Linked DNA regions of Arabidopsis thaliana. The protein of the gene in region 1 interacts with the protein of each later gene in a biochemical or structural test. Each region holds a gene or a part of one and is shown on either strand. Other genes may lie near its edges. The genes, in order: WRKY15 and CAM5.

Evidence for each region.
Region 2: the proteins of WRKY15 (region 1) and CAM5 form a complex in vitro, tested with the Arabidopsis thaliana proteins (one study listed by BioGRID).

Annotation. Positions count from the first base shown.
Region 1 is NC_003071.7:9,922,691-9,926,977, forward strand, and holds WRKY15 (WRKY DNA-binding protein 15), read left to right. Parts: upstream 1-2,195; 5' UTR 2,196-2,307; coding exon 2,308-2,960; intron 2,961-3,061; coding exon 3,062-3,187; intron 3,188-3,289; coding exon 3,290-3,464; 3' UTR 3,465-3,682; downstream 3,683-4,287. Other genes in the region: AT2G23321 (uncharacterized protein), read left to right, coding at 3,688-3,828. UniProt on the Arabidopsis thaliana protein: Transcription factor. Interacts specifically with the W box (5'-(T)TGAC[CT]-3'), a frequently occurring elicitor-responsive cis-acting element.
Region 2 is NC_003071.7:11,530,008-11,535,141, forward strand, and holds CAM5 (calmodulin 5), read left to right. Parts: upstream 1-1,959; 5' UTR 1,960-2,061; coding exon 2,062-2,137; intron 2,138-2,679; coding exon 2,680-3,049; coding exon of another isoform or gene 3,050-3,053; exon of another isoform or gene 3,054-3,277; intron 3,278-4,069; coding exon 4,070-4,169; 3' UTR 4,170-4,351; downstream 4,352-5,134. Other genes in the region: PAG1 (20S proteasome alpha subunit G1), read right to left, coding at 1-37, 184-267, 577-616, 748-1,157. UniProt on the Arabidopsis thaliana protein: Calmodulin mediates the control of a large number of enzymes, ion channels and other proteins by Ca(2+). Among the enzymes to be stimulated by the calmodulin-Ca(2+) complex are a number of protein kinases and phosphatases.

The DNA.
Region 1 (4,287 bases):
AAATAAATCTACAGAAAGCACAGACAAAAACAAACAGTAATAGTGGTTAACGTTAACTAAAAGCGGAAACAAGAGAAAAAACACCGATTCCGAGAAGCTAAACTCAGAAATTTGCGTGATTTCCACAACTCGAAGATACCAAAGAGTTGGAGTCCCATCGTAGTTGCCACGAGCAAACTTTAGCAGAAGCCCGTCCACAAAACCTCTTAATAAAGCGCCTACAGCTTCTCCGCAAACTAACGCAAAAACGCAAAGACAACAGAGGACTAAAACACAAATCCGACGGTTACAGGGATAACCAAAGAAACTACCTTCAGTCACCATTCCTATCAAAACAATAGGAACCATCTCCCACGGATAAATGATGCCTCGAAGACCAACGCGCCGCCTCTATTCTTCCCTTAAGACTCCACTCCGACATGACGCATAACATCACTGTTGTCTAAGTACAAAACAACAACAACAAAAGACACCACAAGCTCCAACTTCGAGCAAAAACGATGAAGAATCGAGGAGGCTTTACGAAGAGCAGAAAAAACAAAACTAAGGCGATGCACCACCTGATTTCTAGATCGGAGAAGAATCCCGTCGCTAGGAGGTCCAACGAACCCAAACGTCTCATCAAGAGCCACAACCACCGCAGAAAGGAGAAACCCACCACGCACCACCAACTAGAGACGATGGGCAATCGAAATCTGAAACAAAACGATGGAGCACGAGAGGAGGAGAAACATCAAAGACAACAAAGAGGGAGGAGGAGGAGCCCTCCCCGTTCGCCGGCAAGGAGTGCCGCAAACGGAGAGGCGGAGGAGGCAGATCGCCGACATTATGATTTAAACTTAATTTGTAACAAGAAATTACTCTAAAATGATATCGGCATAGATATTGTATTAGACTTCATTTTTAACAAATATGGTTGTACAACAACCAACCTAAACCATGATTAGTGAAGAAGAAGCAATAAAAGTAGAGTAAATAAAGCCCAAAGAATTAATGAACAAAAATAACAAAGAGGATGTTGACGAAAAGTCAACTCCACTAAGCTGGCGACGACAAAAACTTCTGCGATTTAAGTTAAATTTGTTGGGTCCTACTTCGAAACCAGATCATACGGCTGACGACGAAAGTTTGACTCGATCCTCTCTCTTCTTTTTCGTCCGTTATGACTCTTATCATCACACCTATCTTGATTTGTCTCTCCATAAAAATAAAAAATAAAACATTTTCTTTTTCATTCATCTTAACAACATGTATTTTATCAAGTTTAATTACAATAGTGTCGACGAAAAGAACAAGAAAAATGCCGACAAAAAAAAAAATACTAGAACAAGAAAAATTAGAATAATGTCGAAAAGCGATTAAGTTAGTGGTTTAGCCGTTTGTTCATCTTCTAGCCTAATAGTTTGGACATCTCTTTCTTTAGTGGAGTAAAAAATGAGTCTAATGTACTAATTAAACCAGAATAGAGATAATTTCATCCTAATACAAATTACTAGATTATATACGAAGTAGTAATACTTCATTTGTTCTAAAAACTTTTTTGAAAAAAATAAAGTTTTTTCGATGAAATGTATAATTGGTTAATCAGAGTAAAAATATGTACAAAAGTGTTTAACTGTGTCTAAACGGATGACTAGCAGTTTAATAAGGAGTTTTGGACAGCTTTAATCACTATAGTTGTAAGAAAACAAGATGTGAGTTTGTAAGTTCTCTCACAAAGTTTTTTTCCAAAGCTCTTTCAAAAACATTGAATTGTAGGCATTACAAATGTTTTGGTGCTTAAATGAATTGTATCAAAAATTGTTGGTGTTACAAATTGTTACAACAACTCATCTAATAAAGACTTGATTCTTCTATCTCGACAAAAGATTAGAGTTTGCCAAAGCTCATGGGATAGTGGTGTATAGTAAAATAAAATAAAATGTATTGAGTTCTCTTGGTTTTTAAGTAAAGAACATGTATGCAAATATGCTCGTAAACGTTTTAAAAATAGTGATGATCAAGACTTATCACTACCGTTGCAACAAACACGTGAAGGTTGAATCCTCTAATTTTGTACAAACTTTGACTTTTCGAATCTAACAAAAAAAGAAAAAGTTGACTCTTAACAACAAAAATTGAATAGTAAAAAAGACTATTTATGAACATAGGAAAAGTCTAAACCGTGACACATTAGTCAGTCACCTACCATACAAATTACATCACTTTAAATACCAAATTTTTTATTCATTTTTGTTCTCTTATTTACTTTAGTCCTCTCGAATCCCATAAAGTCCACAACTCTCTCCTTGTAGAGAGAGAGATTTTATGGCGGTGGAGCTCATGACTCGGAATTACATCTCCGGCGTCGGAGCTGATAGCTTCGCCGTTCAAGAAGCAGCTGCTTCAGGACTCAAAAGTATCGAAAATTTCATCGGTTTAATGTCTCGTGATAGCTTTAACTCTGATCAGCCATCTTCTTCTTCCGCCTCCGCCTCCGCCTCCGCCGCCGCAGATCTTGAATCAGCTCGTAACACAACGGCGGACGCGGCTGTTTCAAAGTTTAAAAGAGTCATATCTCTCTTAGATCGAACTCGAACCGGACACGCCCGGTTTAGACGTGCTCCGGTTCATGTTATTTCTCCGGTTCTTTTACAAGAAGAACCAAAAACGACGCCGTTTCAGTCTCCTCTTCCTCCTCCGCCGCAAATGATCCGAAAAGGTTCGTTTTCTTCATCGATGAAAACGATTGATTTCTCATCTCTCTCCTCTGTAACAACGGAATCAGACAACCAGAAGAAGATTCATCATCATCAACGTCCCTCTGAAACGGCGCCGTTTGCGTCTCAAACTCAAAGCCTCTCCACGACGGTCTCGTCTTTCTCAAAATCAACAAAGAGAAAATGTAACTCTGAGAATCTTCTCACCGGAAAATGCGCTTCCGCTTCTTCCTCCGGTCGTTGTCATTGCTCGAAGAAAAGGTAAATTTTTATTAGATTTGGTATTTAGATTCGACCCAACTATAAAAGTTCATAGATTTGGTATCTAAAAATTGTTTCTTTTGTTTGCTCTGTTTTTTCAGAAAGATAAAACAGAGGAGAATAATTAGGGTTCCGGCGATAAGTGCAAAAATGTCCGATGTACCACCGGACGATTATTCATGGAGGAAATACGGACAAAAACCAATTAAAGGATCTCCACATCCAAGGTAAACTATAAAAAGTACAATTTTCAATTACAGTATCTTAATAAAAATCGAAACTTTATGGTGAAATTGATTGTGCTCTGTTTCTTGATATTGTGAAAACAGAGGATATTATAAGTGTAGTAGCGTAAGAGGTTGTCCAGCACGTAAACATGTTGAGAGAGCAGCTGATGATTCGTCCATGTTGATTGTTACTTATGAAGGAGATCATAATCATTCTCTCTCCGCCGCTGATCTCGCCGGAGCCGCCGTTGCTGATCTTATTTTGGAATCGTCTTGAAAAGAACAAATCTTTATTTAAGGCTTTTATAATATAAATTTAGATCCTTACTTAGTGAAGTACTCAAACTATGAATGAAATCAATGTAATCAAAATCAAAAAGCTTTTGCTAAATTTCGATTTGTTAGTTTTTTGGATTGTTAAATTATAAATTGTGATATATTCATCATGTTTACTTGTTACTTGCAATTTGAAGGGTTTATTTTTCATTTTTAGTTATTTGATGTCATTTAATAAAGAAGAGAAAAGTTTGGGGGTGGAGTTGAAAAGTAAGGTAAAAGAGATGGGACATGTGAAAATGGTCAAAGGATTAGAAAGAGATTTGGGGACCAAAGTTGTCGTGTTTGACCATTGTTGTATTTGACCATAAGTGGTCTTCTTTTTCAACTTTTTTTTTCTTTCTTAATTATAATTTCGGAAAAGTTTACGTAGTCATTAAACATCCTACTAGATACCAAAAAGACATAAACAACACAATAACAAAAATAACTTGGGTTGACTTACTATAACAATTTCCTAAAAATATCATCTCCTCTTTCACTTTAGTATAACTTATTACAAGACTACAAGCTAAGAAATTCTTTTAGGAAATATTGAATAAATTAAGAAAAAAAAAGTATTTGTTGTTGATGAAATGTTGATAATCTTTTGAAAATCTTGACTTAGAGCACCGTATAGTTTATTCTAGGTTACGCGTACAATTTCTTCAAATCCTAGGAGAAATCTTGATGCCGTGTATTAGATTTTCCATCGATAATGATTTTTTTATTGAAAAAAAAGAAAATAACAAAGTGGCAGAAGAGAAGTTGTCGTGTTCATATGT
Region 2 (5,134 bases), 1.6 Mb from region 1:
CAATTTGCCTCCCATCAGCTGCAAGCCCAGCAACAGCCTGACATGACAGAAGTAGAAATACCCATAATCATGAAACAAAACAATATACTACGAGACTAGACACAATAGTAGTTACAAAAAACTTGAAAGATACATATCCTCAGCAGAAACTAATTTCCTATAGTTTAGGAGAAAAAAACATACCATGCCAGCATGACGATGAACAGAATGGATTCTCCTGTTGGAACCTGGTAGCATCATCTTTGATGCAATAAGTTTCTCAACTCCCTAAAAACCACCAAATGATAAACACTTAGCAAGACCATTCCTTTATCAAAAATCTGCGTAAAATCTTACAAAACCCAAAACTAACAACAGATTCACAACATATCGAACAGGAAATGAAACTAAGGGACTGTAAAATGTGTCATCTTGGGTCAAAATTTACACGGTATATATTACATCAAATCTACAATTCTGATAACAAAAATGTGAATACTTCATTCCAAGGTTAAATCACAGCACGAGAGACTAAACCCACTGAAGAAAGTGACAAAGTAGTATAAAAATCAATAGAGGAAGGAGGAAGAATCAAACCATAACAATCCCATCTTTGCACTTGATTCCAACAACAGTCCTGCGAAGAAAAAAAAAGGGAAAGACTTTTAACAAACCCTAATTCGTGTCGATAACCAAAATCTCAAAGTTTTCAGAAGCTAAATCCGATCTACTAAAGGGCGAAGATCGAAGAAGATAAAGCCAACTAACCCACTGTTGTCGACAGCTTTAGCGGCGTACTCGATCTGGAAAACACGGCCATCGGGAGAGAAAGTGGTGACGGAGAGATCGTACCCAGTTCCAATGCTACTCATCTTCCTTGATTTTTTTTTTCTCTGACTCTTTTCTGATTTCTTCTTCGTCGAGTGATTTAAGCTGAGATCGAAGAAAGGGGTTTTCTTTGTTCTCAAGCCAGAGACAAGCCAAATCTTTGGAGCTCCGTCTGACTCCGGGTTGGATATTAAAACGATTCGGGTTGTTTTGTCGGGTGGGTCGATTCGGTTATTAACGGGCTTTATTAATATTATGATTTGGCCCATTCTTTGGTAATCTTTTAACGGTATCGTGAATATTTTTAAGTGATTTTCCTCTTTTGTATAATTTTGAATAATCAACCACATGAGGAAGAAAGAAATATTTCTCTTACTCAACAAAATATATGATCATACAACACTTCTTTATGAACTCACTAGAGGTAAGACTATAATATGCTCTAGCATTGGGACACACAAACTTTGGGATGCTCAACATTACATGTTTTTAAAACCAAGACAGTAAATTACCTATAATTGTGATGGATACAATAAGTTTGTTTTTTACTACATCTCTAGCCAAACTGAGAGACATAGTTGTGGCGATCAAAAAAGTATGACAGTTTTGCGAAAACTGGATCTTGTTTAATATCAAATCTTTAAGTGAAGGTCATGATGCTTAACTACCCATTAGGTGACCCTTCCAACAACAAAGTAGTGATTTTTGTCCTAACTCCTAGATGATTATTAATTACAAAAACAGTAAATAAAAAGTACTACTATTTCTAAATTTTCTTATAATGCTAAAACTTTTTCTTTGGTTAACTTAATTAAAAAGTAGTTTAAAATCCATGGTAAACACAAAGCTAAACCTTTTTTACCGTTTTATATCACTAGTAATCCCATTCTACCAACTCGTTGAATACTTAGTATTGGTACGCATGGTAAGATCAGTAACTTATATGAACTAAACCATTCAAAGCATGTAAATGGTTGTCGGCAAAACAACAATACTATTTCTTTTCACAAGGGAATATATACATCACCTCCCTCTTAAGTAAAGCTAGTCGAATTGAAAACACAATAAGGCCCAGTGGAGAACAAAACAAAAGAAGAATAAAAAAGAGAATCAGATTCGAAATTATTGTTATTGGGCCTAATGGGCCTTTTCTTTTTCCTTCTTTATAATTCCACACAACAATCCTCTCATTACACACACCAACGTTGATTCTTCTTCTTCTTCTTCTTCTCTCTTTCTCATCTAAACCAAAAAATGGCAGATCAGCTCACCGATGATCAGATCTCTGAGTTCAAGGAAGCTTTTAGCCTTTTCGACAAAGACGGAGATGGTTCTTCTCTCTCAGATCTTTCCTCTTTTGTATAATTTTCATTCATAATAGACTCACTTGCGTTTTTTTTGGTGTTTTGAGTATCACTTAGTCTTGGCTTTAGGAATTTGATGCTCTTCGTTGTCCATAAAATCTCTGGATATTCACATTAACATTAAACGCGAGATTTGATGATATCTTTATCGTTCGTTGATTATAAATTATAATCGCAATCGGATCTATCTCGATAATAATCTCTAACTTAATCGTGTTTTAGTCTTCCAGATTTTACTAATTGTGATTAGAATTGACACAAATCTTAGAATTCAATAATCGAAGTAGATTACATTGACATTTGTAGATTTTTTGTTTAATTGATTCAGTTATTTGAGTAGGTTACAATGAAATTTGAAGATTTTGTGTTCATTTGATACAGTTGTTAGAGTAACTAAAATGAAATTTGAAGATTTTGTGTGTTATTAGAGTAAATTACAATGAAAATTTGAAGATTTGGTGTTAAAATCTGTTACTGATTTGAGAGAAATGTGTGGTTTTGTGTTTAGGTTGCATCACAACGAAAGAGCTAGGAACAGTGATGAGATCATTAGGTCAAAATCCAACAGAAGCAGAGTTACAAGATATGATAAACGAAGTAGATGCTGATGGTAACGGAACCATAGACTTCCCTGAGTTTCTGAACCTAATGGCTAGGAAGATGAAGGACACTGACTCTGAAGAAGAGCTCAAAGAAGCTTTCAGGGTTTTCGATAAGGACCAGAACGGTTTCATCTCGGCAGCTGAGTTAAGACATGTAATGACAAATCTTGGTGAGAAGTTAACTGATGAAGAAGTTGATGAGATGATCAAAGAAGCTGATGTTGATGGAGATGGTCAGATCAATTATGAAGAGTTTGTCAAAGTTATGATGGCAAAGTGAGGAAACTATTCTCATATCTTTTCTCTCTTTTTCTTTCTTTCTTTTTTTGAATTGAACAACTCTGATTATTGCTTTATTCTATGTTTGACTGTTCATTATTATGCATTCGTCCCAAATTTCATGTTATGAACTATTTTGTGACTTTGGGTTAAATTATTTGTTTGGAAGTTTTTAGTTTATTTTATATTATGTGAAGTACCATTGTAATGGTCGTTGAAAAAGCTATCTCTTGGTATTAGTACTTTTTTATTTTATTGTATTTTATAGTTTGCAATGTTTGTTAAAAAAAAAAAGGGTTATTTGTGTGATTAAAATTTGTAGGAAAAATGTCTGAAAACATTATATCGGTAGTTTTAAAAGCTTAGAATTTTTTATTTATTTTTAAATTGTTGGTCAATTTGGAAATTCCCCTATTTTTTAGAGGAATGTTGGCAATAATCCATATAATTTGAGTCAAATTAAAATATGTTTTTCTTATTTTACGGTTCATATAAGAAAATAAGTAAACTGTTAGAAAAAAGTATTATCATTTGTAACGATTAAAACAAGAGATAAAATTTAGGAAATACGAAAAAGGGTTAAAGAAAAACATAACTTCCATTTCATTTTTTCTTTCAAAAGTTTTCAAGCTTCAGTTCTCTTTTTCCCCACTTCAACTTTCAGCTTTGTAAATAACATTCGTGTTTTTCTTGATTCAATATATTCTACATTTTAACAAAAACATATAAAAAGTGGTGTATGCATACAGTAGTTATTCGTGAGGTAGAACGTAATTGTTTAAATTAAAAGGCAGATATGTTTTGGGGAATAAAATCAAAAATGGATGGTAAGTAGCAAAAGCTAGATAGATGAAATGAGAATCTCCAAACCTTTAATTATGACTGAACTTTTTTGTTGGTAACCAGTATTTTTTATTTTTACTTTTTTTTGTTACAAGGCTTAGTTTCTTCTTTTTCTTTTAAATATTATCGAAAATCTTGATACCTAATTATTTTAAAATGTGTGTAATTTATTAGGAGAAGAGGGAAGAGAGTTATGGCAGCAAAGCGTAGTAGCAATTCTGCTGAATACAAAGAAAAGAATGGTCGCCGGAAAAGTCACTGCCGTATTCTCTGAGCTCCGACCATTTGCTTCTTAATTCCTTTTCTTTATATGTTTGTGTGCAATAAGAGATTTGTACCTCTCACACCCATTAAACGGATTTTAAATGTCATATCTTGTTTGAATATGTTAAATATTTACTATACTGTTATATAAAAAGTTTTAAAGTACTATCAATATAGTAAGTTCATTTAGGCATTTCCTATCTACCACAATGTTTAATTTTCGTCTACAACATACGCACACTTATCAAACTTGAATCCAAGTATATAGCGACAACACTAAATCCGAGTTATGATACGACGGTGGCACTAGTACAGAAACACTATCACAATGTTTTTAAGATATTAGCAAGAGAAAACTCAGAAAAGATACACGACCAATATTAGGAGACTTTAACTAATACTCTGGCGATCTAACTGTTATAATTTATCAGTTGATTTAGGCGTTAGGCATTTGCTATCTATCAACAATGTGGGCGGGCATATGGTCTAATTCTTGTGAGATGATAATACAATTAAAACAAAGAAAATACTTTTTTAGGAACTAAACCTAAACTTAAAAGTCTTTCTAATCAGTTGCTATTTAAGTATTTTCATAATAAATCAAGAAATGCAAATTGTACATGAATTCGAAAAGCCTCTCGTTAAGAAAACTTATGATTAAGAATATAATATCCAAATACTAGTTTATAACACCAAATGCATTGAAACACTTTGTGTCACTTAGCATCAAACATTAAACACTTATACCAATTTGAATTTAACATGGCAACAACCGATATCGGAAAACAAAATCCATCGCGTATATTAATCGGTTGAATATTTTGGTCAGATGCAACTAATTGTTCCCTTTCTCTATGATACTTCAATTTGTATGGGACAAAATGGAAATCTTATGGATAAGAAACAAAAGAAAAAAGAGTTGTGTGAAGAAAGGTCATGCATATACATTAAGTGAAGCTTTAGGATTCATGCAAA